Linked DNA regions of Mus musculus: regions 1, 2, 3, 4, 5 and 6 are each reported to be linked to region 7. The links are microRNA targets in miRTarBase. Many come from high-throughput screens and were not tested one by one. Region 7 holds a microRNA gene; each other region holds the end of a gene's coding sequence.
The links. The annotated mature microRNA mmu-miR-124-3p reads UAAGGCACGCGGUGAAUGCC and lies in region 7 at 2,732-2,751, opposite strand. An mRNA with a match to its seed (bases 2 to 7 or 8) in the 3' UTR can be bound and repressed. Matches are read on the target gene's strand: a 7mer-m8 pairs with bases 2 to 8, a 7mer-A1 pairs with bases 2 to 7 and ends in A, and an 8mer does both.

Region 1: the mRNA of Gm2a is a reported target of mmu-miR-124-3p. Seed matches in the 3' UTR shown: 7mer-m8 at 1,389-1,395.
Region 2: miRTarBase lists Ggct as a target of mmu-miR-124-3p. The part of its 3' UTR that is shown has no 7-base or 8-base seed match.
Region 3: miRTarBase lists Mvd as a target of mmu-miR-124-3p. The part of its 3' UTR that is shown has no 7-base or 8-base seed match.
Region 4: the mRNA of Adipor2 is a reported target of mmu-miR-124-3p. Seed matches in the 3' UTR shown: 7mer-m8 at 1,015-1,021 and 7mer-A1 at 2,638-2,644.
Region 5: the mRNA of Slc9a7 is a reported target of mmu-miR-124-3p. The part of its 3' UTR that is shown has no 7-base or 8-base seed match.
Region 6: miRTarBase lists Gsta3 as a target of mmu-miR-124-3p. The part of its 3' UTR that is shown has no 7-base or 8-base seed match.

What each region holds. Positions count from the first base shown.
Region 1 is chr11:55,109,074-55,113,139 of GRCm38, reverse strand. Gm2a (GM2 ganglioside activator protein) reads right to left here. Exons shown (of 4, transcript NM_010299.3): 3 at 4,060-4,066; 4 at 111-3,762. The coding sequence ends at 3,607. Among named protein-coding and RNA genes, the nearest start is that of Gm2a, 13 kb to the right of the region's middle.
Region 2 is chr6:54,982,073-54,986,138 of GRCm38, reverse strand. Ggct (gamma-glutamyl cyclotransferase) reads left to right here. Exons shown (of 4, transcript NM_026637.3): 4 at 138-1,044. The coding sequence ends at 281. Among named protein-coding and RNA genes, the nearest start is that of Ggct, 8.8 kb to the left of the region's middle.
Region 3 is chr8:122,430,803-122,434,868 of GRCm38, forward strand. It overlaps Mvd (mevalonate (diphospho) decarboxylase), which reads right to left. Exons shown (of 10, transcript NM_138656.2): 9 at 4,002-4,066; 10 at 2,794-3,373. The coding sequence ends at 3,293. Cyba (cytochrome b-245, alpha polypeptide) reads right to left here and starts at 2,138. Exons shown (of 6, transcript NM_007806.3): 1 at 2,008-2,138. The coding sequence starts at 2,065.
Region 4 is chr6:119,352,020-119,356,085 of GRCm38, reverse strand. Adipor2 (adiponectin receptor 2) reads left to right here. Exons shown (of 8, transcript NM_001355692.1): 8 at 158-2,936. The coding sequence ends at 286. Cacna2d4 (calcium channel, voltage-dependent, alpha 2/delta subunit 4) reads right to left here. Exons shown (of 38, transcript NM_001033382.3): 38 at 3,679-4,066. Among named protein-coding and RNA genes, the nearest start is that of Lrtm2, 23 kb to the right of the region's middle.
Region 5 is chrX:20,102,678-20,106,743 of GRCm38, reverse strand. It overlaps Slc9a7 (solute carrier family 9 (sodium/hydrogen exchanger), member 7), which reads left to right. Exons shown (of 17, transcript NM_177353.4): 17 at 530-4,066. The coding sequence ends at 781. Among named protein-coding and RNA genes, the nearest start is that of Chst7, 45 kb to the right of the region's middle.
Region 6 is chr1:21,264,672-21,268,737 of GRCm38, forward strand. It overlaps Gsta3 (glutathione S-transferase, alpha 3), which reads left to right. Exons shown (of 7, transcript NM_010356.4): 7 at 172-904. The coding sequence ends at 291. The region is part of intron 1 of Gm28836 (a long non-coding RNA gene); the gene reads right to left. Among named protein-coding and RNA genes, the nearest start is that of Gm28836, 5.0 kb to the right of the region's middle.
Region 7 is chr14:64,589,394-64,593,459 of GRCm38, reverse strand. It overlaps Mir124a-1 (microRNA 124a-1), which reads right to left and starts at 2,803; the gene lies at 2,719-2,803. It overlaps Mir124a-1hg (Mir124-1 host gene (non-protein coding)), which reads right to left. Exons shown (of 4, transcript NR_040709.1): 3 at 3,501-3,619; 4 at 1-3,187. It overlaps Mir3078 (microRNA 3078), which reads right to left and starts at 2,275; the gene lies at 2,189-2,275.

The DNA.
Region 1 (4,066 bases), not on the chromosome of region 7:
CCCCAAAGTTATCCTCTGACCACAAATGCACCATGGAACAAGTGCCTGAATACTCTTTCCTCTTTTGCGCACATACACAGTAAATAAATGTAAAAGAAATTAACAGAAACTTTCACAAAACAGTCTCTTTTTATTTTGAAAAACTTCTAAAGCAAGACAGAAATAGCTCAAATGTCACATCACCTGTCATTAATGCTAAGACCCTCCACAGCCACACCCACGTCAACACAGCTGAAATGCTAGTCTAATCCGACATCTGAAATGAGGATCTCAGACAGTGTCTGTATTCTCTCCCGGTATGCATGTGGCTGTTTCTAGATCATTCCTTATTATTCGTGGCCTTGGCAACCTTGAAGAGCTGCTTGGGATTATCTGACCATAGTTATATTGAGATGACATACTAAGAGCATCTCAGAGAAATGGCGCATACCCTTCAGTAACTGCTCATTTTATAGTGTTAGTTTTATAGCCCAGGCTAACTTGAATTTAAAATCTTCATAAGGGCTGGGATTGCAGGTGTGAGCCACCACGCCCTGCTAGGTAAGACTTAAACAGTGCAGATACTTGGTTTTTGTGCTATTTTATGCCCAGCTTAACATCCACATGAGACTCTTGTCAGTGGGTGACATTTACTCCTGAGGCTGCTGGCTTTTTTCTCTATCTTCTTTTCCTTGGGGTTCCACTGTGCACAGTAGACTCTATCCTGGGTTCTTATTTAAAAGACTCAAATGCATTGTCATCTTTTCTGTTACTCAAACTAACCAGGGATTAATCATCAGACACCCCTTCAGGTTGTCTGCTCCATTCCCTTAATGTGGAGGTTCACGCCTTTGATTCCAGCACTCAGGAGCCAGAGGCAGGTGGGTCCCTGAGTTCAGGGTCATCTTGGTCTACACAGTGAGTTCCAGGCCAGTAAGGGCTACACAGTGAGAACCTGTCTCAAAAATTATTTATATATAATGGTGGCACACACACACACAAATAATAAACTAAGCATTAAAAAAAAACCCACCCTCAAGACTGGGCATGGTGACACACACCCTTAACCCTAGTTTTCAGGAGGGTACATGGCAAAGCATAGTAGTATAGCAGGCTGATATATACAGCACTGGGAAACTGGTTTCCATTGTAGGATGATGTATACCGAGTACCATGAGGGATGATATATACAGGGTTGAGAAGCAAGGTATCATGGTGGAATGTATGCAGGCATGCTCACCTCATTGTGGGCAGTAAGCAGAAACAAAGGAATGGTGTGCCAAGACCTTCAAGTGCCCGCTCCCAAAGACCTTATTTCCTTCTTTCTAGGCCTCAAAACACACCATCCTTCTTTGTTCATGGATCTGAGATGTCACCTCAAATCTTACCCACAACCCACAAGAGACAACAAGGCACATTTAACAAGTATGACATATAGATTTCCTGAGCTGGTAAGGTGCTGTTCTGATTGTGAACTTGGGGTGCATTGCATACAATCCCAGCAAGTAGTGGGAGGGCTAAGTTCCAGACTAGCCTATACCACCTTGCAGAACCAACCAAACAACAAAAGCAGAGTGCAGACTACAAATCAAGAGAACTAGGCGTGGTGGTACAGGCCTGTAATCCTGAAAGCATAAGGACATGGTCATGCTTGTCCTATGTACAGAGGAGTTTGAGGTCAGCCTAGACTAGATAGAATGAGACCCTGCCTCTCAGTAGCAGATTTGCCTTACAAATTTGAGGACCAGAGTTCGGGTCCCCAGAACCATGAACACATTTATAATCCCAGTAATAGTGGGATGTGAGGTGGGGGCAGGTGGATACCCAGGACTCTCTGACCAGACAGCATGGTTTGCATAGCAGTTCCAAGTTAATGAGACCCTGACTTAACACAAAAAATGGAAAGCACCCAAGGAATGATACCCAAGGTTGTCTTCTAGCCTCCTCTCTCTCCTCTTTCTCTCTCACATGCATGCACATGCACACAAAACCAAAAGAAAAAAATATGTAGTGGAAAGCTTTAAGGTTGAATGGCAGAAAACTAGGCTAAGGGATCTGAAAGCAACCCTGGGCGTTCAGGCCCAAACAGAGCAAGGCGGAAGCCCCGGCTGCTGCTGAGATGAACACAAGCACCCATGGCCAGAGATGCCTGGACTCCCCTGGACCACCCACTGAGCCCTTCCACAGCCACAGCCCATCACAGACTCCCAAACATGCAGCCATGCTCAATGAAGCACACAGCCAAGAAAAGGAGCCCACACAGCAAGTTAAAAAGATTTATTGCCAGACCAGTCTTCTAGTCCAGAACCTGGGCTGTCCGAGGAGGCTCAGGAAGTTGTCATGGTGCAACCTGATGTGGGACCCACTCTCTTCACAGGACCCCTGTTCCACGTGGTGGCTGCTAGGTGGGATCTACTCCAGTGTGAACCCCTCTACTCTGGTGGTGATGGCTCGGAAGTTGGCACAGTGCCCAGCTCTCAGAAGCCATGTAGACCTGCTCTAGTGCAGGCTGAGCCCTCTTTGAGGCCAGGCACCAAGGACTTGACCTTGAAGGGGGAAGAGATGCGGCCAGATAACTTGAGATTGAGAAGATGAACAGATGTGAGGAAAAGCAGCCACCTGGGAGCCAGATTATGTCCCTGGGTGAGTCCGTGGGGCCCCTTTGGCCTGCATAGTAAGTATATATAAAAAAACCATTTGTTTCCAATAGTTAAAAATTCTACAATTTCATATAAACGGCTGGGTTTGGGGCCTAAGGAAGAAAAATGTTGCAAATATCTGGCAACATTCCTTACATGGAACTTGCAGGGGACTGCACCTCTTTAGAACTAGATATGCCATTCCAGACCCTGGCCACCTGGCACCAGAGCACATGTGCTATTGGTTTTTTTGGTTGTTTCTTGTCAGGTATAAGGAATGCCATCCCATTCTTGAAGGCATCATACCAAAAAAAAAAAAAAAAAAAAAGGAAAAAGGAAAAATGGGCATCGCTCCCAGAAGTGATTGCTGTGCCTCCCTAGGTCTTCGGCTTGGCCCTACAGGTACCTGTGCTTTGCCAAGGGTTACTGGAGCATGCCCAACAATAACTCTCACAGGTTTCTGTCACACACCACCCTGCCTCTTCAGGATCTGTCAGCCCCAGTGTTGACAAGTTAAGTTGCAAAGAGAATGCAGTTAATCACAGAAGTTAATAGAGGGACCCAAGACTGACTACCTAGACCTCTTTGCAGGAAGAGAGGCTCAGGATGGAATGAGAAATTAATACGGTTATCCTGGTTTTAAAGTTGGTGACTAAAACAAAGAAGTGGGGTGAGCATAACTCCAGGAGGTCCAGGTTGGGCCAGTTTTGACCTTAGGATTCCCAAACATGTTGGTTCCCATTCCTTGACTGTTTTGGATACGAAAGAAATTCTTAGAAAGTTGGTAGGGGTGCAAAGGAGCATGGCTTACAGCCCATCAGATGTTGGGCCTGGTCCATCCTCCCTCAGGTCAGGTTGCAATGATTTCCAGAGAGGGTAGAGAACCGTAGGAGGATAGAGTTAGAGGCAGGCAGGCCTGGGCACCGGAACACAGAAGAAGAGGCCTGCCGTGCTGGTGCCCCTTCATTCTGTGGTGGCTGCTGCCAGGTTATCTGCCCTTGAGAGAGGCAGCAATCTTGATGCAGCCCAGGCGCTTCCCACCACTGCTCAAGATACTCTGGATGCGGTAGTTGCCTGTGCTCAGCCAGCTCGGTAGCTCTAGGTCAGGCACTGTGAAGTTGCTCGTGGGTAGTGAGTAGGTACCCTGAGGGGAAGAAGTGAAGCCAGGTCAGGGCGGCCTATTGCTGACAGCCATAGCTGTGATCTCCCCCCCGTCCCCATTCTGCTAAGAGCCAAGAGTGGTGCTATAGCCCTTTTCTAGGCTCAGTATGAAGGGTACCAATGGTCACAGCTAAGCGTAAAGCTGCTCCATTTCATACACGGATAAACCAAGGCTTCCAGCTCCCAAGATAGCGGTTCTTATATACCCAAAGAAACAATATGCAGAATGAAAAGGCCACACCCACACCCACTCTACCACCTTGACACCCCAGGTACTCACTTCCTTG
Region 2 (4,066 bases), not on the chromosome of region 7:
GGTCTTGTTTTAAAGTGTATCAATTCTTTCGTCATCGAAAGCCAATATCGTGGATCTCTACAGTACAGACAAAGCTGTGGTGCTACACTAAATCATACTCCTAACTAAAAGGGTTCCCCTATTTTAACCATTTCTAGGTTATCTGCATGGGTGCGAAAGAAAACGGTTTGCCACAGGAATATCAAGAGAAATTAAAAGCAATAGAACCAAATGAGTATAAAGGAAAGATCTCCGACGAAATGGAAGACATCATCAAAAAGGGAGAGTCAAAACTGTCATAACAGACTCTGAAGCTATGTGTGCTAGTATGAAGTGCTTTTAACGTTTGCGAACAGGAGTCTGGACCTTCTTGGTTCTGACCTTGATTTTCAACAGTGCTGGGAAGGGCTTCTCACATAGGTGATTCTTTATTTTTAACTGTAACAAAGAACTGGAATGGGGATGGGCTTAGACCATTAAAGGGACCAGGGGATCCTGGCATGTGCAAGTGGTGATGGCCGTGGGTTCTCCTGTGGACACTGCTATAGCCCCCCACTGTGTGGACGACCTCCGTGGAGGGTAGGTCTGTAGCTCAGGGGCGCACTGCTGCGCTTGGTCTGCTTTCTGCTTGTATCCGATCGGCTTGTAAGAAGTAAGCAAAATATAGAGGGTAGGTGGTAAGGCTTTGAGAAGTACAAAGATGGTACACTGTCCTTTGAGGGGCGACTGCTTTCATGACTCTAAGGGGTTTCTCAGCAAGAGCTCCACCTCACTGTGCTCTGCTCAGACCACACAGAGCAGCCTCAGCTCATAGAGTCTGTGTTAACTGGTATTGTGGACTCTGGAGCCAAGCTGGCCTTGAACCTGTGACCATCTTGCCTCAGCTTCTCATATAGCTGGCTGGGATTATAGTCTTGTGCTACTGGGGCTAGCTGAGCCTCCCACTTTCCAGTTGTGGGACTTGAGCTTCTCTGGCTCACTGGACCTTAGTTGCTTCACCTGTATAAATAGGGAAAATCAAAAACGTGAATTTGAAGATTTCATGAGTAAACATGTGATAAGCTTAGGACACAGCTTGGCTCTAAGTATTAGCAATCATCATCGTGTAATGGAGTTTTGGGTTTCTTTGTCTTTTGAGACTTAAGCCTATTCTGTAGTCCAGAGTGGCCTTGCATTCAGGATTGTCTTGCCTCCCAGCCATCCTGCATCTAGTTACAGATGTGTGTCATCATATGAGGCAGGGGATTCCTTTTTGTTTAATCAGTGATTTGGGCCCTTTAACAAACAATACAACTCTTGAAAACAATAATTATAATTAGGTCCTAGGTTGCAGAAAAATAACAGAAATCTCCAAAGTGTGCCAGCTCCTGTCCCAGAAAAAAAAGAGATGGACTGTGAGCTGAGAGCAAGGCTGGGAAGAAATAGGCCCAGTGTCCTGGGTGCAAATGCAGCGTTAACCGGGGGCATTTCTGTTCAGGATAAGAAACCAGAGTCCTTAGGAAGGACTAGCATGGCTCCTGTTTGCTTACCTCAGTTCCCACGAGTGAAAGCAGCAAACATAGAAGCTCGGAGCTGGGTAGATAGCTCGACTAGTTAAGTGCCCAGTACACAAGCGTGAGGACCCAAGGTCCGTCCTGAGAACTCCTGTCCAAAATCTCTGCTGTTAAAAGCTTCTAATGCTGGAAGAGCAGAGACAGCCACATCTCTAGGGCTCGCTGTCCCGCCAGCCTTGCCTGCTCGGAGAGTTCCCAGACTGGTGAGAAGAGAGATCCTGTCTCAAGGAAAAATAGATGGCTCACCAAGGCTGGCCTCTGGCCTCTCTGCATACCCTCTCTCACATAAGCAACAGCTTTGCTAGGCATGGAACTGTGCGCTTGTGTCCTAGCACTCAGGCCGAGGTGGGAGGATGGCTTGAGTCCCACCTGGTCTGTATCGTAAAGCCTTCTCAAAAATGACCAACAGAAACCCCACAACAATTTAAAATGGAGGTGTGTGGAGACCTTGGTTCCTGCGAAGATGGACTAGGAGGTGCTTTTCCCTCGTTCTCCTGTTAAGTACAACTAAAATCTCTGTGTATTATTTATGCAACAATCTGGGGCAAGACTGAAAGTTTGGGGAGATGGCAGTCTTCAGTAGGGCCTTAAGACCCAGTGCCCCAGAGTAGTAAATTCTCTGAATTTTCTTTTGCCTCATACAGCTTAGGCGTGTAACTAAAATAGCCATGCACTGGAAACAGCAAAGAGGGTGTGCTTGAATGCTTACACACAGTACACATAGCCTGTTCTACTGAGGATACTAGGAAAGGGACAGCTTGGTATTAAAAAACATTGAGAGATCAAACACTCCGTGCAGGCCATAGAGAAACGTGGTAGACTTGTTTCCACCATGCCAATTGGGGCCTGGAAGAGAGCCTGGATTTACACATACACATGCATAAGACAAATCCTCTAACCACTTTGCCACCATATGCGTGTCAAAAAGCTTGGGAAGGACCTGGCAGCAACACTCTGTCTCAGTGTGCCATTGGAACCATGGGGATGTAACCTCCCATCCATCACTGATGGTTTTCCCTTGACCTCCATGCTAGAACAGTTTGAGAATGAACCAGCTGAAACAGGACTTAAATAGATCCAGAGCCTTATAAAACTCCAGTATGTTCTGATTTCAATTGATGATCATATTCCAAAACAAGGAAACTACCAGACTAGCTGGTAAATGGTAACTATAGATGCCAGGGTGATGTGACATGTTGGGATTGTCTGTCAAAGGTTTTCAAACAGCCATTGGTAGTGGTGAGCTAGTTCAGTGGGTTATTGTCAATGCTCACAAGGGTCATGGGTTCAACACTGCCACAGGTTGGGTTAACGTAGACCACTATAGTTGTGACTGTTTCCAACACCCAACCACAAAGTGCAGATCACCAAGCCAAAGTGTCTTATTCATGAGAATGCCGTCACTTTCCATAGTGACTGAGGAAATGGCCACAGCAAGCTCTGGGATCCTGCTGGATGCCAGTGATAACATAGAGAGCCTCAGTAAGCAGAGGACAGGACCTGAATGATGATGTTAGTATCAAAACACCATGGCTGAAATCTAACAATTCAGTGTGTGGGGCTCAGCAGCAGAACAGTGGGGACCACGGAAAGGAGGTGTGAGCTGGGTGATGGAGTAAGAGCTGCCAGGGTGAGCAGAAAACCAAAAAGCTAAGAGATCCTGGAGCCCGTTTGAATCCTAACATTAGAGCTGACGTATTGAAAGAGGCCAGCCTGCAGAGAAGCCAAAACATCCTGAGGTCTGCAAAGGACAAAGTAGCTGAGTGGACCCCATACAAGCCCAAAGAAATGCACACCAAAGCACTGCATAGTCAGTTTGGAAAATGAAAAATTCTTGAAACTAGGATTAAGTTTTGGGGGTACATTGTTTCCAATCAGAAATGGCGGAGCCCAGAAGCAAGCGGCACACTTCAGAAGCAAGTGGCACACTTCATGGAGAACTGGAAAAACCCCCAGAACCATTAACAATGAGGGCAAAGTAAGACACAGACAAGTTTTTAAAAATATTACCAGCCATCCTGCTCAAAACAACGAAGAAAATAAGCAGAAAAGAAAGAATGAAAGGAGGAAGCTTTGCACATTAGAAAGATAAGGTCACCATGAGAAAAATTAGGATAAATGCACTAGAATCCCTTCTCAGTCTCCTGGTTCATACTTGACAATGTTGCACAAGTTGTAATCCTAACTGCCAAGGTCCGAAAATACAGAGCAGGGTTAGAAGAGGAAAGCCAAGAAGATAAGTGTTCTATATTTGAATGTGTAACACCTCAGTGGGCAACCAATAAATACAGAAAGGATTTTTGCAAAACAAAAATTAAAAATAAAAGAATCTCACTATTAGAAGACAAGATGAAAGCCAGTGTGTGTGTGTGTGTGTGTGTGTGTGTGTACCTATAATCCCAGTTCTTGAAAGATTGAGACAGAAGGATCATAAATATGACAAGCTTCAACTAAAAGGCAAAAATAAGATGGCAGAGTTATATTTCAGCATGCCAGTTATCATATTAAGTATAAGTGTCTAAGAGTATGACTGG
Region 3 (4,066 bases), not on the chromosome of region 7:
GTTTTGCTGGTCAGCTTTAAGGGTGCACTCTGCAGGAGGGAAGGGTACTTTGTCACACATTCACTCGGCCTGCTACCCATAGTCCTTAGGGACTCATGTCCTCACTGTGAGCTTCTGCTACACTGACCACCATGAGTGGGAGGGGTCATTCTTTACCCAACAGGGAGACCCAAGGACTGATTCTCAAGCCCCTGGCTTGCTGAAGTGATACACTGTAACAGAGGGTTCAATCCCAGGGAAGCCCACTATCTGAGGTTGATGTCTCAGCAGGTGGCATCTGAGTCAAGACTGAAAAGGAGGCATCAGCTGTGACCCCAGCCAATTGTACAAAAAGCCCCCCCCCCCCGCCCCCCTCCCCGTGCACATTCAGGAAACTCAGAGACAGAGAAGGAGCAACCTAGCAAGGAAGGCAGGAAGAGCCCAGGAGACAAGCAGGGGGGTCAGGAACGGGCTTTCGTCTTGAGATGGAGCCAGGTAATGGGGCCAGAACAGATGGAATTTTCTGTGATTTAGAAAAAAACAAAATAGGGGGCTGGAGAGATGGCTCAGGGATTAGTAGCGAGGGTTGCTCTCCAAGGGACCTGAGTGGGGTTCTCAGCACCCGCATCAGGCAGTTCAGAGCCACCCGTATGTAACACCAGCTCCATGGGTTCCAATACCCTCTTCTAGCCTTTGTCTGCAAGCGCCCCCGCACTTACACACATGGCCAGACACACACACAATCTGAAAAAAATCAAATGTTAAAAAAACAAAAGGAAACAAAGTACATCCCTGTTGATTGGACCTAGACAGTTCAGAACCTTCCCAGGACAGTTGTGCTTTCCCGTAAAAAGAAAAGTTAGCGGAAGTCACACTCGGTGGAGAAAGTAAGTGGCCACAGCCTGTGACTCCTCAGCACAGGAGACTTGTGTCAGCCTGAACACCCTGAACAATTAGCTGAGGCAGTACATAGAGACCTTAGCACACACGAGGACAGGAGACACTGCATGGACAGCGCTCGCCAGGTCTTCCCACCCTTAGGTGTGTCTGGCACCCCCACTTCCTGGAGGTAACTTTTGAAACCGTCCATAGTGGTCACAGGACAAACCACTACTGGCAGGAGGCTGGGAAGGGTAAGAAGGGAGACTGCAGGTGGGGGAGGGGCGCCATTTTCAAAAGGTTGGGGTTGCAAGGCCTTCCACGGGAGCTTCCAGCGTGGGCTGGGGGAGATTTCTCTATCACCTCTTCGATGCGCTATTCCCGGGTGAGTGGAGGGGGGTCTGGGCCATCCTCCCTGCCCTGGCAGGTCTTTTCTGGCTCCCTTCGGCTTTGAGGCATGTCTGCAGTTTCTAGTCTCAGGCCTGCTGCTCATGGTCTGGTCTATTAGGTTCCTTTCCTGGTACAGTGAAGCCCAGGGGTCCCACTGCCCCTTGGCAAACCTCCCAGACAAGCTGAACTGTTCAAGCCACGGCCAGTGTCAACCTGACTAAAGACTAGTGTCCTGCATCTTAACTCGGCAGGCCATCAGGGCTAAGATCACTCTGAGGGGTGTCCAGACTCTTGTGAAATAGTTTCTGCGCACACTTCGCTTGTGGGATGGAGCCGATTGCTCCTCTAGGATGAGCTTAGCTCCTATCCCAGGCCCCTCGGGGAGAAGCCGGAGCCCGAGTGACCTCAAGGCCAGAGTCCCAACTCCTGGCCAAGTGGGCTGTGCGCAGAAGAGGGTCTTCCGGGGGTTTTCCTAACCAGGCGGGAAACCACCGAGTGAATGTCTCTTCCCCAGCTGTAAGCAACTTCCTCCTCTGAGGTCCCAGCGCGGACCCAACAGGGTGCAGGGCGGGGTCGCCTCTAGAACAGGCGGCCGAGCACGGCCTGCAGCGGCCACCGCCCGTCCTGTGCCCGGAGGCCCCGGTAGGTCTCTCCGAGGATCCGCGCTTTGAGGTCCGCAGAACCAGCCCGAGCCCTGCTTCCCCCGCGGTGCCCCACGGGTCCTGAGCAACCCCTCCACCCGCAGCCCACCTCACTCACTCAGGCCAGACGCCAGCGCCTGTTCGTTGGCCCACATGGCCCACTCGATCTGCCCCATGACGAGGACCCTGCGCACACGCAGCAGCCCGGTCCAACTCTGCAGCCCACTTCGCAAGTCCTCACTGATCGGCCCGCCCCCTGCTCAGGCCCCGCCCTGTCGGGCTGTGCCCCAGAGGCCTCCTCTGCACCTTCCCTTTGAGCCTTGGTGGGTGGGACAGTCTCCCCATCGACCTCTCTCTCCAGCTGGAAAGTACCAGGGCCACTTGTGACTGCTTGTGACTTGTGACCGTACCCCCCCAGGGCCAGAGGCGTAAGTCACTTCATCCACCTGCTCCTCTAGTTATCAGATAAAGGCTGCTCCCTAAAAGGAGATGAGGTTACTTCCGACCCACTGTGAGCTGGGGCAGGTGTGTGTCCTGGGTCACGTGACTACGGGGTGGGGGTAGGGGACCATAGTGTGCAAGGCTGGGAAAACCCAGAAAGCAGGGGACAGAACACCGGAACACCGTTGTTCTGTTGTCTCTTTCCTCTGGCCTAGACCAGCTCCAGCAGCTGTTGCATGTATGCTGGGGTATGACTTAGGGTGGTCACAAGGTGGCAGGAGACTCTCACGGGGCTGGCTTGTGGGCAGTGGGAAGTGTTCCTGGCAGGACCCACTTCAGCCCCCACCTCTCCACTACATAGGGAAACAAGACTGAACTCAATGGCGGGTAGGACCCAGCAGATCAGTAGACCAGAGACCCTAAAGCGCTGGTTTAGGAAGAAAGAAGAAAGCACAGCCCACACGGGCAGGCAGGAACAGCACACTTTATTCCTGTGGTCCTCAGGTCCACTGACTGCACCCTCATGAGGCACCCACACACACAATGGACCCTACCTGTGGGCTCGACAGCCCCTACCCTCACCAGGAGGCTTTATAAAGAAACTGTGGCCTGAGTCTCAGCAGAGAGGCACCGCTGTCTGAGCCATCACGCTTAGATGGTTACTGAGGCCCTCAGAGCATCTTGGGGGAGGGGGGAGGCACCGACTCCCCATCCCTGATGAGCAGCTGTCTGGAGTGCTGGAAGGTCCATCGAGTGGGTCAGCTAGCCCTTCAGAAACCAGCGGGGAACCGGAGGCACTTGAGAGGGGTTCCCGTGATCGCCTAGATGGCTGCCCATCACACTCGACATCCCCCAGTATAATCGATCATCAAGCAGCCCTTCAGGAGAGGCTGACCAGCAGGCCAGCTCCCGAGTTCCAGTGGGCAACCCCTTTCTCCAAATGGCACTGGACGTGGAAGAGGTCAAAGGTCCCGTTGTGGCAGTCCATCCTGGCCTAGCAGATGATCATGAGTGTCGTCTAGGACTTGAGGTCCTGGTCCGACCTGGGGGGAGAAAAATCAGTGTCCAGTCATGGGGTGCGGCAGTAGCCGCTGCTCCGGAGACTTTACAGGTCAGAGACTCTAAGGCAGGATTAGATTGGGGGGGGTGGTGAGACACGGGTGGGTCCCTTCGTGGTAAGTCCACACCAGCTTGCGCAGGATGAGCCTCTCAAGCTGCCTGGGGTTCCATTCCGGGCTAGATTGTGGGGATCTTAGTGACCCTCATCTCGTGTGAAAGGAGGGACCCAGAGCAAGCCTCTTTGAGCAGGATCAGGAGACGCGGGGATGCTGGCGTGCTTGTGGTGGGTTACATCCTGAGAGCAGATTCCCAGGGACCCCAACATCTACCTCTCCTGGCAAGTGACTGCTTTTTATCATCTTTCTGTCCAGAGTACATAACCCTCACATCCCGCCCCCGCTCTCCTCTACGAGTTGTCCCTAAATGACCACTGAGGGGAAATGAGTAAACCAGACAGTGTCCAATGACTCTGAGCCTAAGAACGCCATGTGGCTACTTCCGTGCCGTGGCTGATGTGGGCTTCTGCCTCCGCCCTGAGACACAGTGGGGGAGGCTTGGATCCTCCCTCCCTCCGGCAGGTAAGGGGGTGCCTGCCGTGTGTACTGGCCTCACCTGAGTGGCAATGATGTACTGGACCCCACCAGGGCTGGGCTCCACCGCCAGCGCGGCCTTCAGCT
Region 4 (4,066 bases), not on the chromosome of region 7:
AACTTGAGGGACCCACCTTGAATTTGAATTGTATCCCATGCATTCCCACTGTCCGAGCAAGCTGGGAAGCAGTGTGCCTTACTTCCTGGAATTGTTACTTCCTGGGGACCTGACCGTTAGCAGGCTTAGTGATAGTGGCTTTCTTTTCTCTCTCCAGTTTCACTCTCATCAGCTCTTCCACATCTTTGTGGTTGCTGGTGCCTTTGTTCACTTCCACGGAGTCTCAAACCTGCAGGAATTTCGTTTCATGATTGGCGGGGGCTGCACTGAAGAGGATGCACTGTGATACTCTCCAGGAACCAGGGACTCTGACCCTGAGCCAGGCCTGCAGGTCCTGCAGGCCTTCTTACTGGCTGTCGGTGCCAGTGCCAGAGAAGCCCCAAAACTTGGACAGCCTCATGGGCCTTGTGTTGGCCCAAGGGCTCCATGGGGTACAAGACTAAGAAGAGAAAAACAAAAATAAATCATACCTCAAAGGATGGAATGCATCGATTAGGAGAGAAGGAGAAATGGCTCATCCCCTGGCTTCCTCTTGGGATCTACCGATTGAAAGCAACTCTGCAAGACCCTCGCCTGACAGGCTGGCTTCTGATGTGATCGTATTTATTTGTAGAAGATGGGGAAACAGTTTAGTTGGTGGTCTTTCTTCTCCCTTCCTTGCTCCTTGCAGCAGTAACATGTATGAGTACCATGCACCAACTGATCGTGCCATTGGAGCTCCTTAAACAGTAATCACAACCAAGTTAGGGGAACATTTGTATCCAATAAAGGGGTGGGAGTGCGGTTTTAGGCACTCCTTTGGGAGAACAAAGAAATTAATGTAAATAAGATTTCTAATTTACTGTTTAAATAAGAATTTATATAAACATTTAAGACATAGGGGCAGGGAGGGAGGGAGACTTTTTTTAAAAAGAATGAAACATGCAAGTACCACACACTGTTTCAATTTTGCACAAGTGATGGGAGGAGGATGGAGTGGTAGCCCCAGAATGCACGATGTCTTGGTGCACCAAGGTGCCTTCCCTAGGCCGATAACACTTGGACCCTGCTGGGGCAGAGTGGACAGCCCCAGCCCAGGAACTTCCTGGCCACTCTCAAGACTGAGAGCCTTTGGGCATTCAGAGGGGGAGGGATGTGGAAGTCGTGTGTGCTTTTCAATGGAAGCAGCACAGGTTGTCATAGTGGCTCTAGAGAAAGTGTCATTTGGGAGACTGTTATGTAGGCTAGTGATGACCCTTTTGAAGAGTGAAGCCACCTGGTTCTACTGTAGATGTAGTAGAGACTTGATGAAGGGGAGGAGGACCTGGGGGCATCAGCATAGGAATGGTCTGCTTCTCCCTGGTGTCTCGTTTGACCAGGTGGTAGTTCTTATCTGAATAGAGGTATGGCCATTTTCCAGACCCTCTCTGTGGAGCTCTGAGCCATTCTGCAAATTTTGCTCTATTGAGAATCACTGCCCTAACTGTCCTTCCTCCTGGAAATCAAAAACTGCCCCCCCCCCCCCCCCCCCAGCATCAAAGCTCCTTCGTGGAGCCGGCCACTAGTGAGATTCTGATGAGCATGGGTCCCACCTGAAGTCATGCAGGCAGGTGTGGAGGACCATCCCTTGGACTAGGAATGGTGGCGCTTTTCTCTGGTGCAGGCTTGGCAGGCTTGGCATGACAACAGATTCTTCTCCCGTTGAACAAGAAAGTCAGTAATACCTACTGTGGAGTTGTTAGCACGCACTGAATGCCATTTGCAAGACCTGTGCTACAGAGTTGAAAAGGAAGTGGACTGTTATTACCAGGTAGTCGGATAGAATTAAACCCACAATTTTGAATTGCTGCTAGAAGTTACAAATAATTTCTTTGTCCTAGGGCCTTCTTGTTATGGGTTTTAGAGAGTGGCAGTGAGTTGGGTCTTGGCTCCTAAGTGAGAAACCAAGCACTTGAGTCTCTTAGACTCTAGGCCTCACTCCTTGGGGCTGGTGGGTATTGCAGTGTAACATGGGCCTCGGGCATCCCAAAAGGGGTGCTGGGCAGTATGAGGAGGTCCTGTTTTTACAGTAGTGTTTTCTTGGTCGTCGTTGTCCTTCCTCTACCTTCAGATCGCCACCCAGCTGCAGCTGGGACCCAGGAAGGAGTCCATTGAAAACCTGGGAAGAACTTCAGAGTATTGGGTTGTGGATAAGGTCACTGCCCTAGGTAGGCCCAACAGGAAGCTCTGGGTGAACAGCATTGTGCCAGACAACTAAGAACAGTGTTAATTCCTCAAGAAGCAGTTCATCAAGACAGTGTCCATCCGGAAGGAAGCTCACCTAGGCTTGTGGTAGCAACAGCACATATCAGCAGCCAGACGCACTCTCTGGTCGTGCACTTTGGGACATGAGTTTGAGACGCTTCCTCATGACACCTACAGGAGTAGAGGTCTTTGGGACTGGTCATCCCTCTTCCCAAAGCAGGGAGACTCTGGTTCAACATAGCACAAACTCTTAGGGAACCGAATCACCACCACCACTGTAGTCCAGTAACTTCCCTTCGGTGTGTGTGTGTGGGCATGTGTGTGCCCTGTATGTCTGCGCAGCTCACTACCAACAGCCTCCATGTGCACTTGACCTTGTGGTGCCTCCGGGAACTTTCCAGGTTGGCACCTGAATGCCTTACTCTCAGCAGTCTGAGGCTCGCTTGCTCTGCGCACACGTTTCAGTCTCCTTTTTTGGCCCTAGGCTGGTTAGGAACCTGTACACCTTCACTCTCTCATCATTAAATAGTGGCCTTTTTCAGTATTTCCTCTCTCCCCTCTATAAGTTGCTGAAATCACAAAGCACACTTTTGGGGATCATAGAAGGTTGGGGTTCCAGAAAGGCATCTCTGTGATGGTTCCATTCACTATGGGGATTTCCCTACTTGCTGTCTTCTTGATTTCTCTAATAAAAAGAGCCAAATGGAAAATGAGTTTTGTTGTGTTTTTTTTTTATTGTTGTCCCCCCCCCCCCTTTAAAAACTTACCTCACTTTTGGGATATCCTTAATATCCTAATTTAGTCAGGAAGTTTAGGGAATTTTTAGAAACTTCCTGCCTTCAGGAGGTTGATGCAGGAGGATCATGAGTTTAAGGCTAGACTGGGCTTACACAGACCTTGTCTAAAAAAGGTGAGCTTTCTCTATACCTGGTTAAAGTGACCATCAAGGCCTCAGGGCTGTGTGGAACCTGACCACATGCACTGGGCCCCTGTATTTTGTCCGCTCCATTTGCAAGCCACTTGAAACCCTCAGGGTGGTGCTGCTGTAGCCCAGGGACAGCCTTACTGGGCACAAGCCATCTGATACTTCCCCACACCCAATCTAAGTGCTCCATGGCTGGGCCCCTCAGAAACGACTGAGGGAGACAGGCTGCAGCCTCCTGCCCTATGGCCACACTAGACTCAGAATTACGAGGCAGGTGCACATCTGCTTCATCCTGTTGTTTGCCGTAGGATATGACTCATTACCTTCCCTGGTTCCATATGCTCTCACCTGTCAGGTTACCTTTTACAGCCTTCCTGATGCATGGTTCACCATAAAGAGTATTTCGGAAGCTGCCGAGCCCTTGCTCTTTTATATCTGAGCCCCTCTCAACCTCTCTGCTTGCTTTTCTGACCCTAGGATGTGGTCACTACTATGTCCCCTGAACCAAAACTTGACGTAGCATCACAAAATGCTGTTGAAGCCTTTTATTTGAGGTGGTTCTACTCTAGCACATAAGCTCAGCGGCACATTCCTGGTGCTTCTGACAGGGCTCCAGCTCTTGTGGTTGAAGGCAACACAGATAAGGAAAGATGCCAGAATGCTGCATTCCATTCATTTAATCTCGGGGGTGCCAACTTCATTCCTCTAAAGTCAAGGTGCCAGATCTTTCACCTAATCCAGACTGCAGTCTTCCAGTGTCTTGGTGGAGTTATGATCACTCACTGAGGAGGGCTTAGCTTGCCACGTCATGTCTTGGCCATCCTCCTACATGTCCTTTGGCGGCACTAGTCTCAGAATTGAGAGGCAGGCACACCTTGGGAGATACCTGGTGTCCATGGTAGGGACAGAGCATCATGA
Region 5 (4,066 bases), not on the chromosome of region 7:
AAAGCTATGATAGGGACATTTAAACAAAATGTTTGAGCCATTTAAACAACAAAAACAAAAACATAAAAAAAACCTCCTGTAATTTGAAGCCTAATAATTGTTCCCTTCCTTAGAGATTAGGGATATGCACACTAGAATGATGACAGTATAAGCTCAGTGACCATACCAAGGGCATAGTCAGACAGGTTTCATAAAATCCTTTTTCAAGAAGAAGTTTTTTATGCATGTATGTATTTGTGTGCCTGAGTATGTGTGTGTATGTATATGATCAAATGTGTGCAGGTATCCACAGGGTCCACAAGAGGGTTTCGGATTCCCTAGAACTAGAATCACAGGCAGCTGTGGGTTGCCTAATTTGGGTGCTAGGAATTGAACCTGGGTTCTCTATAAAAGCAGCAAGAGTTCTTATCTTTTATACCATCTCTGCAGCCTCCCAAGTCCTTGGGTTTTTGATGTAAGAATTTGGGGTTAGGTTGGCCACAGCTCTGGTAAATCTCAGGTTCCCCTTTTTGTTGGCTGTACCTTTCAGAATCAAGAGCCACTGAGAGAAGATGACTCTGATTTCATCCTAACGGAAGGTGACCTCACCTTGACCTATGGGGATAGCACCGTGACAGCAAATGGCTCCTCAAGCTCCTACACAGCCTCCACAAGTCTCGAGTGTGGTCGGAGAACAAAAAGCAGCTCTGAGGAAGTACTTGAGCGAGACCTGGGAATGGGAGACCAGAAGGTTTCCAGCCGGGGAACCCCCCTCGTGTTTCCACTGCAGGAAAATGCATGACTTACCTGTAAATCCTGAGGGATCAGGGAGGCTCTTATAAGGGTGAGGATGGCCAAATGCCCAAGTGTGTTTGATGTGTTGTATTGACCATGTTAAGACTATTGCTTCTGTTTCAGTGGGGCCTGAAACTATCTTACCACTCAAAACTTAACTCAAGACTCAGATGGTAAAGCTGAAGTGTCTCTAAATTAAACACAAATGCAGACCTATTCCCACTTTTTCACATAGTAGTACACTATTTCAGAGTTAAACAAAACAACAGCATGCTTTACTGGTCTCTCTCTTCATCCTCCTGTAGTATCTGAGCATGGTGGGGCAGATAAGGGGCTTCATCGCTATGCTATAGTGCCAGTCTAGCTGGCTCAAGAAACATCAAATTGGGAGGACAAGTTAGACAAATGACAGTGAAGAAAAGAAACTGAGATCAGAATTCCAGTGGTGCCAGATGCTGGTGTTGCACCAGATGCTGGAGCCTCTGGCTCTGAAGACTTACATAGCTACATCTTCCTGTCACAGTCTTGCCTGTTCAAGTTGTGTTGCTCCTAGACTGAGGATTAGGAAGCAGGCCCATAGGCTGGGACCTTAGGTCAGTGGGAGAGTACTAGAGCCTACAGCTCACCAGATCCTGGGACTGCAAAAATTGTGTGTGTGCACAGGGGTTTTCCAAGAGCATTTCAATATGGGAGTTGGGGAAAGTCTAGTTCCTTCTCTTAGAATCTCTATAAAAGAGTTACTGAAATGTTAAAAACCAAAGGCAAAACACGTTCTGTTCTGTTTTAGTTAAACTGAGGGCAGAAGGTATTGGGAAATTGCTGATGATACCATAGCAGTACTCACTTGACTTTTGAGGTTACCATGTGAGCCCACTGCCTAGAAGGTAACATACGGACTAAGGCGTTGTCCAGCACAGGGTTTAAGATAGCATGGATATTGCTGTTATCTGGGGAAGAGAAGGCAGCAAGAAACAGAAGTGGCCATAGACTATAGTTTGGGGAAAGAGATTTTAATGTGAAAAGAATAACCTGCAAAGAAAAGAAAAGATGGAAGTCTTTATTTTATTTTGCATACATTTTGCTTTAAAACATCCAAAAGTAATTCCAAAATCACACTACATAAAATATAGAACTTGCTTTGTTATAAATTATAAAAATATGCGTGTTCAAGTAAATGCTGAGTTTCCAATGCCAACTATCTTTAGGACAAAAACTTCAATACTTATAATAATTACTTTTACATTGGCATTATTTTCAATACTTAGAAGATGAAAATCATTCTTATGCTTTGTTTCAACCTAAACTTTTGTTACTAAAAATACATAGCCAAAGCCTTTTAAATGAGCTAGTATTTCTGCTCTTTAAGGATAGACAGGAAAGTCCAAAAACAAAGCAAGCAAGCAAGCAAGCAAACAACCCCCAAAACCTGACTTTTAAAAACTATTAGGTAGCTGGCATTTTGACTACACCTTACTTTGTGAAATTTGATAACTCCAGGAATCAAAGATGGGTCATCTTTTTGTATATGATTTGGTGTTGGCCAAGGAGCATCCACTGTAGCAACCTTCCTGTGGGCCAGGTTCTTGTTCCACTTCTGAGTTTTGAACATTTTGTTTCCAGGCTGACTTTGTTTACTTTCTACAGGAATTATGTATGATACATTCAGCTATGTACCAATAGATAGGATCATATCTGCCTAAAGTCTGAAGTAGAAGGTGAAGCAGGACGAGGTTTAGTCAGATTCATCCTGCAATCTGGAAGAACTTCTGGATATACTTTGCTGTATATACAGAATATACAATGAACTTCCCTAAGATTTTCCAAATCAGAACTTCTCCAGAAAGCGCTAGTAGTCAAAGACAGTACTATTTTTAAAATATTGCTTTAACCAACTAGCTTTTCCTTCAATTCCAGATGAAACCCTGCTTCTGTAAAGCTTCTTTGTCTAAAAGCAACATCGCAAGCAGCAGTGAGAAGCTGCTGGAAATGCTGCTCTTTTGACCATTTCTTTTCATTGCTGAATCTCTAACTCCAGCTTCCTGAGTTTCTTGAATGTTCATAGTCTTGTCATGAAAATACAGCTTCATCATTCAAATCTTCTCAGCAAACATTGTGTGGCTTGCTTATCAAGTTTTCTGTATGACTTCAGTATTCTCCACCATTTCCTTGTGTGCTTTAAAGCTGCTCTCTCAAGATTTTATGGGAAAGGCCCACATGCTCAGTCTGTTCACCTCCCTAGTACGGTCTCCTGTCAGGTAATTTCCTGTATCAATCATCTGCTGTTGCTCCGTGTTTCCTTTTGAGGGGAAGAAATTCAGCATCCCCCACTAGAATTTGTTGCTGATGATATTTATAATAATTCAGATGAATAGTTTCCTCTTTGTAACTCACTTCTCTTTTGCCCATTCTCTGGGAGCCTATGTTTACATCAGTTCTCCTCAAAGAATTCATAATGGCTGTGGTTGATTTTCATTCTTCTCATTCCTAATAAGTTGATGAGGACAGGCCTTTATATAGTCATGCTCTTGTTCTCTTATATATTTGTACTGAGTAGCTTAGTCTGCAACATGACTTAGTAAATAGTTTACATCATCTTTCTCCTATTTCAGTAGATTCTTGTTCCTTCCTCATAAGCCCCCTTCTCCTGAAGTCTGGCACTTCCCTCCTGGAGGATTCTAGTTGCTCCCTGAGTTGCTTAGCAGATCTGCAGATGACCCACAGCACCTCCTAGCTTCAGATTCTTTGTTTTCACTTTTGTTTGTTTGTTTGTTGTTTTTCGAGACAGGGTTTTTCTGTATAGCCCTGGCTGTCCTGGAACTCACTTTGTAGACCAAGCTGGCCTTGAACTCAGAAATCCACCTGACTTTGCCTCCTGAGTGCTGGGATTAAAGGCGTGTGCCACCACGCCTGGCTTCACATTTTTCCATGCTACAAGATTTCTCCTATGAGGGACAAGTAGCTCCAGAGAGTCTAAAACAGAAACTATACTTTATTCTTTCTTTGTTCTTTTACTCTTGGATTCTCCATGTAATTAATGGAAACTAAAAGTAATCAACTCTTGATCAAGATATGGATGGGTCAATATTTGCTTCTGTGTATACTAAGTGATAAAGGCATTTGCCATTGACAATAAGCTTGCTTGAGACATCTTTATTTCCAACGTATACTAAGAGATATTTTTGCTTTCTGCCATCAGATCTGGAACTATCCCATTCATCCAGTCTCCATCATTGGGGTATCTGATGAGCCCATTATAGCAATGAAACTCTTAGAACAGCTGCTGTGATACAGA
Region 6 (4,066 bases), not on the chromosome of region 7:
AGCTCCATTTCCTTCCTCTCATCTTCATTCTCTCTGGGTGTCTGTCTCCAACCTCCACCCTGGTGCTGATGGAGGGGCTCGGTTAGTCATTTGACTGGCAGGGGCACAGGGCAGGGCAAGCAATAACTCTTTCTTCGGCTGCTCTCTGAGGCTCTGCTTTGTCTGTTGCAGGCGCTGAGAAGCAGAGTCAGCAACCTCCCCACAGTGAAGAAGTTTCTTCAACCTGGCAGCCAGAGGAAGCCTTTTGATGACGCAAAATGTGTTGAGTCAGCAAAGAAGATTTTCAGTTAATTCAGGCAACTATAAGTACATAGCCCCCACAAAGCCAACCTTCTAAAATTTTGCATCACATTGAAGTGTTTTGACTAAGTGTTGACCCTACTTAGAAAGCTAACAAGTTTTCTAAGGCGTCTGTGTCAATTCAGGTAGACATGACTGACGAGGAACGGCCGGATGCTCTCTAGTTGTAGTTAAAATTGAAATCATGATCACTTCCTCGGATATTTTCTTACTGTTCAATAAAACAAAACAAGCTTCTTAGACTCTGGAGTATTCGAACATTGTCATTCAATAGCTGTCATATCCTTGTCAAACGGAGAAATCTTCCTGTCAAATTCTGGTTGATGCAAAAATAATCTTTCCTTATGGAGAGTGCCCTTCCTGACCAAATACACACAGATGTGTGCACACTCAAACTGTGAGGAACTCTTTTCCTTTAACTTAGTAATGGTTTTCTTATTCAGTTATACAAACAATACATTTATGTTCAATATAGAGCAATTGATTTCCCTGGGGCTGCATGAATGATGGATACAGCAGGGACAATCAAATTACCCAGCCACAGAATCTTGAATTTCTGTAATAAAAGTATTAAAAACTTAGGTATTCCTAATACAGAACTGGACATTCTGTGTGTCCCATTCCTAAGGTTTCTATAACAATGTACCACAAACTTTGTATCTTAAAATAATATAAACTTATTCTTGCTCAGTTCTGGGGGAGGTGTCTGACGTCTAAGTCTGCGATCCACTAGGTTCTCTCAGAAGGCTTTAATAACGAATCTTTCTTAGCTTGATGGCCAGTAACGCTGAAATACCTTGGTTTGCTGATATAATACTCAAATCTTTACATCTGTAGAGATCGTTCTTCCAGAAGACAGTATCAGGAGTTACAGGTGGAACAGATGGAACACTCTCTAGGACAGAATTTATCCCGAAGTCTTATGGATCAGCATACCTAGAGATACACCTGCTAGACTCTGAATGTAAGAAACAGTAGTTCCTTTTTTTTTCTACTATGACAAAAAACACATGAGAAAACTTTCTTGTTGTAGGTAATATTTAATCTCAATGGGTGTTTCCCATTTGATCATTCAGTCCCCAGATAAAAGATACACAACTTACACAACTTTTATATTTATGATAAGTCTTAGTCAACACAAGACCTGGGCAGATATCTACCCTCTAAGCAATTAGTTTATACCTCCCTATCAAGAACCCTGAGTTATGACTTGCTATTTTCTGCATGGGCCACTCTTACTCTGACTGGTCAGCTCATATGTCCAGTTTTTTTTTACTATCCCTCACCTCATGGTGTCTTCCTCCCTCTCTTTCCTCTTTCTTTTCCTCGTGGTCTCCTGCCCCCAAACCCAAGCCCTGGAACCAAAGGACCCACCTATCTCTCTTCTGCCCAGCTATAGGCTGTATGCAACTTTATTCACCAATCAGGGATAACTTGGGGGGCAAGGTTACATATAGTCACTTGGGTCTATGTGAGGGTTCTTTCATCCCTGGGAGCAAGCAGGTTTTGACCAGTATTTAGCATTACAATACATAGCAATGAACGTTTTATTTCGGTTTATACTTTGAAGGTAGAGTCCATAGCAACTTTCCAGGGGCCAACACATTCAGTTGTAACCCATAGTAAATCACTATGCATTATAATGGAGCCCTGGGCCAAAATTAAGTGTTTGTCAGTGACATTTTGGTGTGACTTATGCAACAGCTAAAGCACCTCCAATGATGAGAAAGGTTCCATTGAGTCCCTGTTCTCAGTTACCCAAGAAGCAATAGCAGATAGCCCCAAAGAGATAAGGAATCAGTCTCTAGCTGCTGGATCCATAGGCCATGCCCTTCACTCCCCATGTCCCCCAAAGTGAGGCAGCTTGTTAAATCCTAAATTGATTGGTAATTTTAAATTTTTTATTTATTTTTTTAAATAAATTTATTTATTTATTTAATGTATGTCAGTACACTGTCCAATCTTCAGACACGCCAGAAGAGGGCATCAGATCCCATTACAGATGATTGTGAGCCACCCTGTGGCTGCTGGGAATTGAATTCATGACCTCTAGAAGAGCAGTAAGTGCTGTTAACCACTGAGCCATCTCTCCAGCCTGGTAAATTTTAATAATGTTTTTATTAACTCTTTGATAATTCCATGTATTTTTTAACATACTCCACCTAACTCATACAGATCCTCTCCTACCTACCTACCCACTTCCCTTTCAACACATTTTTGTTCTTTTCTGTGTCTGTCTGTCTCTGTCTCTCTGTCTCTCTGTCCTTTCCCCCAAAGAGTCCAATTTGTGTTACTAAAATACTCTTGGGTATGGGGTCTAGAGAGTGGCAGACTACTGGGAGTCATATCTTCTCAACCTCATGTGGGTAGGTAATGTGAGTTTGAGATCACAGTGGTGTCTGTAAAATGAGTTCCAGGCCACCCAGGACCGCATAGTGAGACTCTCCCCCGTGTGGAGGTGGGAAGCCCTTAACAAATTGAAATAAAATAAAAAACTAAACAAATAAACAAATGGAAAAGGTTAATTTGTAAAAGAAACAGCAGTAGGGTAATGAGAAAGACAATTCTGAGCTCCAAGCACGTAACTCCATATCACCACAGCCAATCACCACACAAGCTTTTATGAGGGCAGTGCTATCATTGTGAGTATTTCCTGGGCGAGGAAACTAAGGTGCAGAGAAAGCAGACAATGACCAAACCACACAGAGCCAAGATTTCAGGATCAGAGATGTCTCACCGTAGGCGCCTATGCAATCCCGCCCCTGAGAACAAGGGGCATCCAGCTGAACAAGGTGAACAACAGTGTGAGTGGTGGGCTTGAGATCTCGTGGAGGGTTCTTCTGTTCAATCGCCCCACACCCTGTGACACAGTGCACCATCCACCTGTGACTCACTCTCTTCTGCCCTATGAGCATCTCACAGGAGGCCCCACGTAGTACTATGTAGAAACTGGTCATACCATATATCTCAGCCTCCATGACACCGAGGCTTACTAGCTGTGTCAAACCAGGTGCGTTCTTCATCTGCTCTGTGGTGCAGTTTCTCCATTTTAATAGAAGGAAATTAGAAATGTCTAGCTTACATGGTTACTTCCAAAATGAATTAGAGTACCAGGATAGTGCCGGGCACTTACTGAGTGTTCAGGAAACATTAATTGTTCAAGGCACAGAAAGACAAATCCCATGTGTTCTCACTTGTATATGGAAGCTAAAGTTTTACCAAATCCTAGGAATGATGTGAGAGGGAGACGTTATAGGGCACACAGAATTGCTGAAAAGGAGGAATAATGTCTAATGTTGCCCAGCACAGTGGAAGAGCTATGGTTGGAAACTACTCTACGCTCTTCTGTAGCTAGTATACAGGATTCTGGATGACCCCAGAGGGAAGAAAGTAATAAATGTCTGAGGTAATGACTATGACAGTTGCCCTAATTGGTTGATAAGATACTAAATATAAGATACTGAAATGCCACACTTTACCCCAGAAATATGTGTAGTTATTGTGTGTCAATTGAAAGCAAAGGTACATTTTAAGAGAAATATTAACTGTGCAATAATAGTAATCTTTACATGTTACCTGGTATTTCAGCACACCAAGAAGAAGACAACTGATGTAGAGTAAATCTGTCACCTGCACATTCAATGAGGCATATTTAAACCCCTTTGCACTCAACAAGTATTTACTGGGCATTATCTTTGTGCAAGGCAGTAGGAAGCAGTTTTGAAAAGGTTGTAGACACAGGCTTGTCTACAGTACAACAGGGCAG
Region 7 (4,066 bases):
ATTAGTCCTTTGATACATTACTAAATCTAGTCCAAGTACCGGGTTCCTTAAGAAACACAAGAGATTGTACCCAGTGGGGACTAAGGCAGTAGCGGGTGTGAATAAACCCAAGGGGAAAAAGAAAACATATACAGCCATCAAACTATGGCAGCCTCATCCTACTGTTAGATCGCAAGTTCCTCCCTTCATTTTCGCCATAAGATGTAATTAGAAGGTTCAAATAGGCAGGGGAGATGATGCTGAGAATCCAGGAGGTGCCTTGAGAGAGCAGAAGGCTTCTCTGCATAATTATTGATGGGCAGAGAAGGGCAGCGAATGTAGAGGAAGGAGGTGGCTCAGGCTGACCTTGGCTCTGATTCTTCATTTGGTGGAAACAAAAGGGGTTTGCACTTATACCTGGGGCTGAGCAGGTCATTAGAGTCCTACATACAAACCCCTTCTGGGAAGGGGATCTGGTAGACACATACGAACACTGGTTCACATAGACTGGCCAGTCCAGAACACTCCCACACGCCAATAACACACGAATAATACTTTCTGGAACAAGAGTTTTACGTAAGCAATAAAATAACAATGCACCCCTCCCAACTCAGATCCTCCGTAGCAGATCCCAGGCAGGCCTTATGGATGGTGCCTGCGGTTTGCGCTCTCAGAGCAAAAGCATATTGGGTTTCTACCTAAAAGGACTTTACTTGGGGAAGCATCTGGGGGTTACGTAAGATGAAATATCGGTGAAGGACGAGGGGACATTTGAAAGAATCATGGGGAAGCAATTACTGAGTAGAGGATTGCTAATGGGGATATTTGTGGTCCAGGGGGGTTGGGCCATCATCTGCTTAGGCCATTGCTTGAAGGCAAAATAACATCTCAATGAGCACGGGGGGGGGGGGGCAAATGGGTGTACCCCCAAAATGGTACAGCACACTAGCCGTTCTCTTCTAACCCATTTGTGAAGTGAGGGAGCACCCCAGGAAAGGGCCAATTTTTATTTCAAGGGAGGTAGATTTTCTCGAAGCAATGGCTATGGCGTCTCTTAGGACAGCCATTGTGGCTGGGTCTTTCCCTTTCTGCCTTGAAAGCAGTCTGGCTTGTCCGGTAGGACTCAGCCAGAGACACCCTCAGGGTGTGGGCACTGCAGCTTTCTGCCTGCAAGAGTAAGCAGGCGGTGGCTTATTTCTGCAGAGCGGGAGAAGGTTCTGGGAATGCCTAGGTGGAATGTGGTAAATTGAAGCTCAGCCTGGCTAGCTCTAACATTCTCTTCTGTGAGGAAATTTAGAAGTTGAAATCATCGTAAAGAAGGACACATAGTAGATACTCAAGAAATAATGAATACTCTTGAGGAAACTAGGCCAGAGAGGTACTGATCTATGATATACCCTCAAATACTAATTTACTAGACTAGATGAGGCTGAGGCTTTTTGAGACAAGAGTCCTCCATTAACTTCAACGGATGCTCTTTTAGACCCTGATTACTGTGTTAGGAATCAGATTAAACTCCTAAACATCCTTCATGGGCTTGGCCTTGCAAAGGCAGGCCTCTGGCATGACAGCAGGGGGGAGGGCTACAGCCTGCTTCCTGGGGGTGGGTTGTGGGGGGGGGGAGGAGGCCAGCTCTTGGCCTCCTTTCCCTCCCTCTGCTGCTGGGTCCTGCCCCTCCTCCATTTACTCCACCTGAAAATTAATGAGTTTAGGTCGGCCACCAGGCCATCATCCATCCACTGCAGGTTGGCGGAACACTGAGATGGAGACGGGATGGAACTGTGTCGGGGGCCTCCAGGACCAGCTGCTGCTGTTGGGGGCTGATTTGGGAAGCAGGTGCTTCAGGATGAGGGAGGATTAACCCTTTCTGTTCCTGGACAGCCTGCTTCAAAACAGACTTTCCTTAGGCCTCCACCTTACTCATGCTGATTTTCCTTCTGTCTTGGGGTTTTAAGAGCGATGGGGAGAGGCCCACACTCTGGGGGCTGGGGGTGGGCTGCGCCTCCTTTTCCTGTAGCTTCTGGATTTCTGCCTGAAACTTCAGCCACAGCCCCAAGGAGGCTGGGAGGCCCTGCTTTAGAGCAGTGGGCTAGCTGTCAGTTTTGATGGAGTCTGTGCGCTGTCCATGAACAAATTTGCCGATCGCCTTCGCTCACTCCAGAGATCTGTTTAAGCTTGTCAAATGCCCACAGCTCTCCACCAACGGGTGACAAACAGCTTCCCCTAAAGACTACCCCAGCAACCCCAAGCACAATACAAGGTAGCTGCAGTCTAGGCTTTGGGGCAGTCTGCCAGTCGCATGGGTACTTGGTTATTATTATTTGTTTAAGGGTAATAAATTGAAATCCGGAACTAAGACAGGTAGGGATGAAGGTGTCGGCCTTCTACAATGGGCAGGGTCCCAGAGCTGAGGGGCACATTTTACTCTCCAGCCGTCCCCAGGCTATTTTCTGCCGCCGCCGCCGCCGCCGCCACCACCACCACCACCCCCCCGCTTGCATAGATCCGTGTTTCTGTCACAGAATGAGTTGTTTGCTTCCTAGATTCTATTTGCATCTGCACAAACCCCTCTCTGTCGGTAGCTGCACACCTCCCCACCCTAAGGGCTACTTTGCGAGGCACTCAGAAGCCTGCTACCCGTACTGTGGGCGCCTGCAGCTGCAGCGCTGAGATCTGCCCAGGGCGTTGTGCTGGGTCGATCCTTCCGTGGCAGGCCCTCGTGGACCCAAGGTGCTCAGACAGCCCCATTCTTGGCATTCACCGCGTGCCTTAATTGTATGGACATTTAAATCAAGGTCCGCTGTGAACACGGAGAGAGAGGCCTTTCTCCTGAGGAAGGAAGAAGGAAGGAAGGAAAGAAAGAAGGAAGGAAGGAAAGAAAGAAGGAAGGATGGAAAGGAAGGAAGGATGGAAGAGAGGGAGGATGGGAGAAAGGAAGGGAGGAAGAAAGGAAGGAAAGGTGGAAAGAAAGGGAGGGGATGGGGAGAAGATGAGATGAAAAAAATGAGAGATGAGAAAGAAAAAGCTGGCGACGCGTGCGTGTGCGTGCGCACTGACAGCAGGGAGGGTGTGGGGTTGGGGAACGCGATGAGCTAAGGACCACCGCATCCTTCCTACCGCAGCTCCCCCAGTCACAGACAATGAGATAACAGCCACGTCCTCCGTAGGCTCTTTGTTCTCCCGCATCCTTTCGTTTCCAAGCTTTTTCCTGCAAAGGGGAGGGGGGTGGAGGGTTCGGGATGTGGGTGGAAGTGGGAGACGGAGGGGTGCCTCCCCCGTGTTAATTACCCCGACTCCCTCACTCCTCTCCTCGCGCTTCGCCTCCCCTGCAGTTCCAGACAATGAAAAAACATCAACCCCACCTCGCCCCACCGCAGCGAATCCTACCCACCCAGTTCGCTCTCAGCTTCGCCTAGGAAACTGAGGGGGGCCAGGAGGAGGGAGATGACGGAGAGGAAAGGGATGGGAAGCAGGGGCCCAGCTACTGCTGCCTGGGCAGGGCTTGTGACCGCCGCCTTTACCTTGAGTGTAGGGTCCGGGTGTAGCCTGGCCGGGCGTGCCGCAGGGCAGAGCTGCTGCGGTCCCTTACCAGGATCTGTGGGAATCAGCCTTCCGGAACTCTCCTGCTGCGGTCCTCTCGCTTAGGTCCCAAGTGGTGGATGGGAAAAAGGAAAAGAAAAAAAAAATAAATAAATAAGAGCGAGGCCCATCTGGCCCCTCATCAGCCTTGTCAAGTCTTGCATACGCTAAAATGCTAATGACCTAGATAGCTCATGCAAAATGCAGCAGGGAGGGACAGAGAAGGAGGGGGAGCGAAGGGAGAGCGAGAGAGGGAGGAGTGAAGGGAGAGGGAGGGGGAGACAGAGGGAGGAGGGAGACTGGGAGGGGGGAGGGGGAAAAGAGAGAGAGAGAGAGCGCGCACCCCTACATGTTCCCCCACCCCACCCGTCAACCGGTTTTACAGAGGTAAAGGGTGGGTGTAGATTTTAAAAGGTCACCCCTATAGAATGTAGCTGGGTGGGGTGGGGGAGAGATCCCCAAATCCATAGGGACAATAAAATATTATTTTAAGACCCCTCCCTCTCTG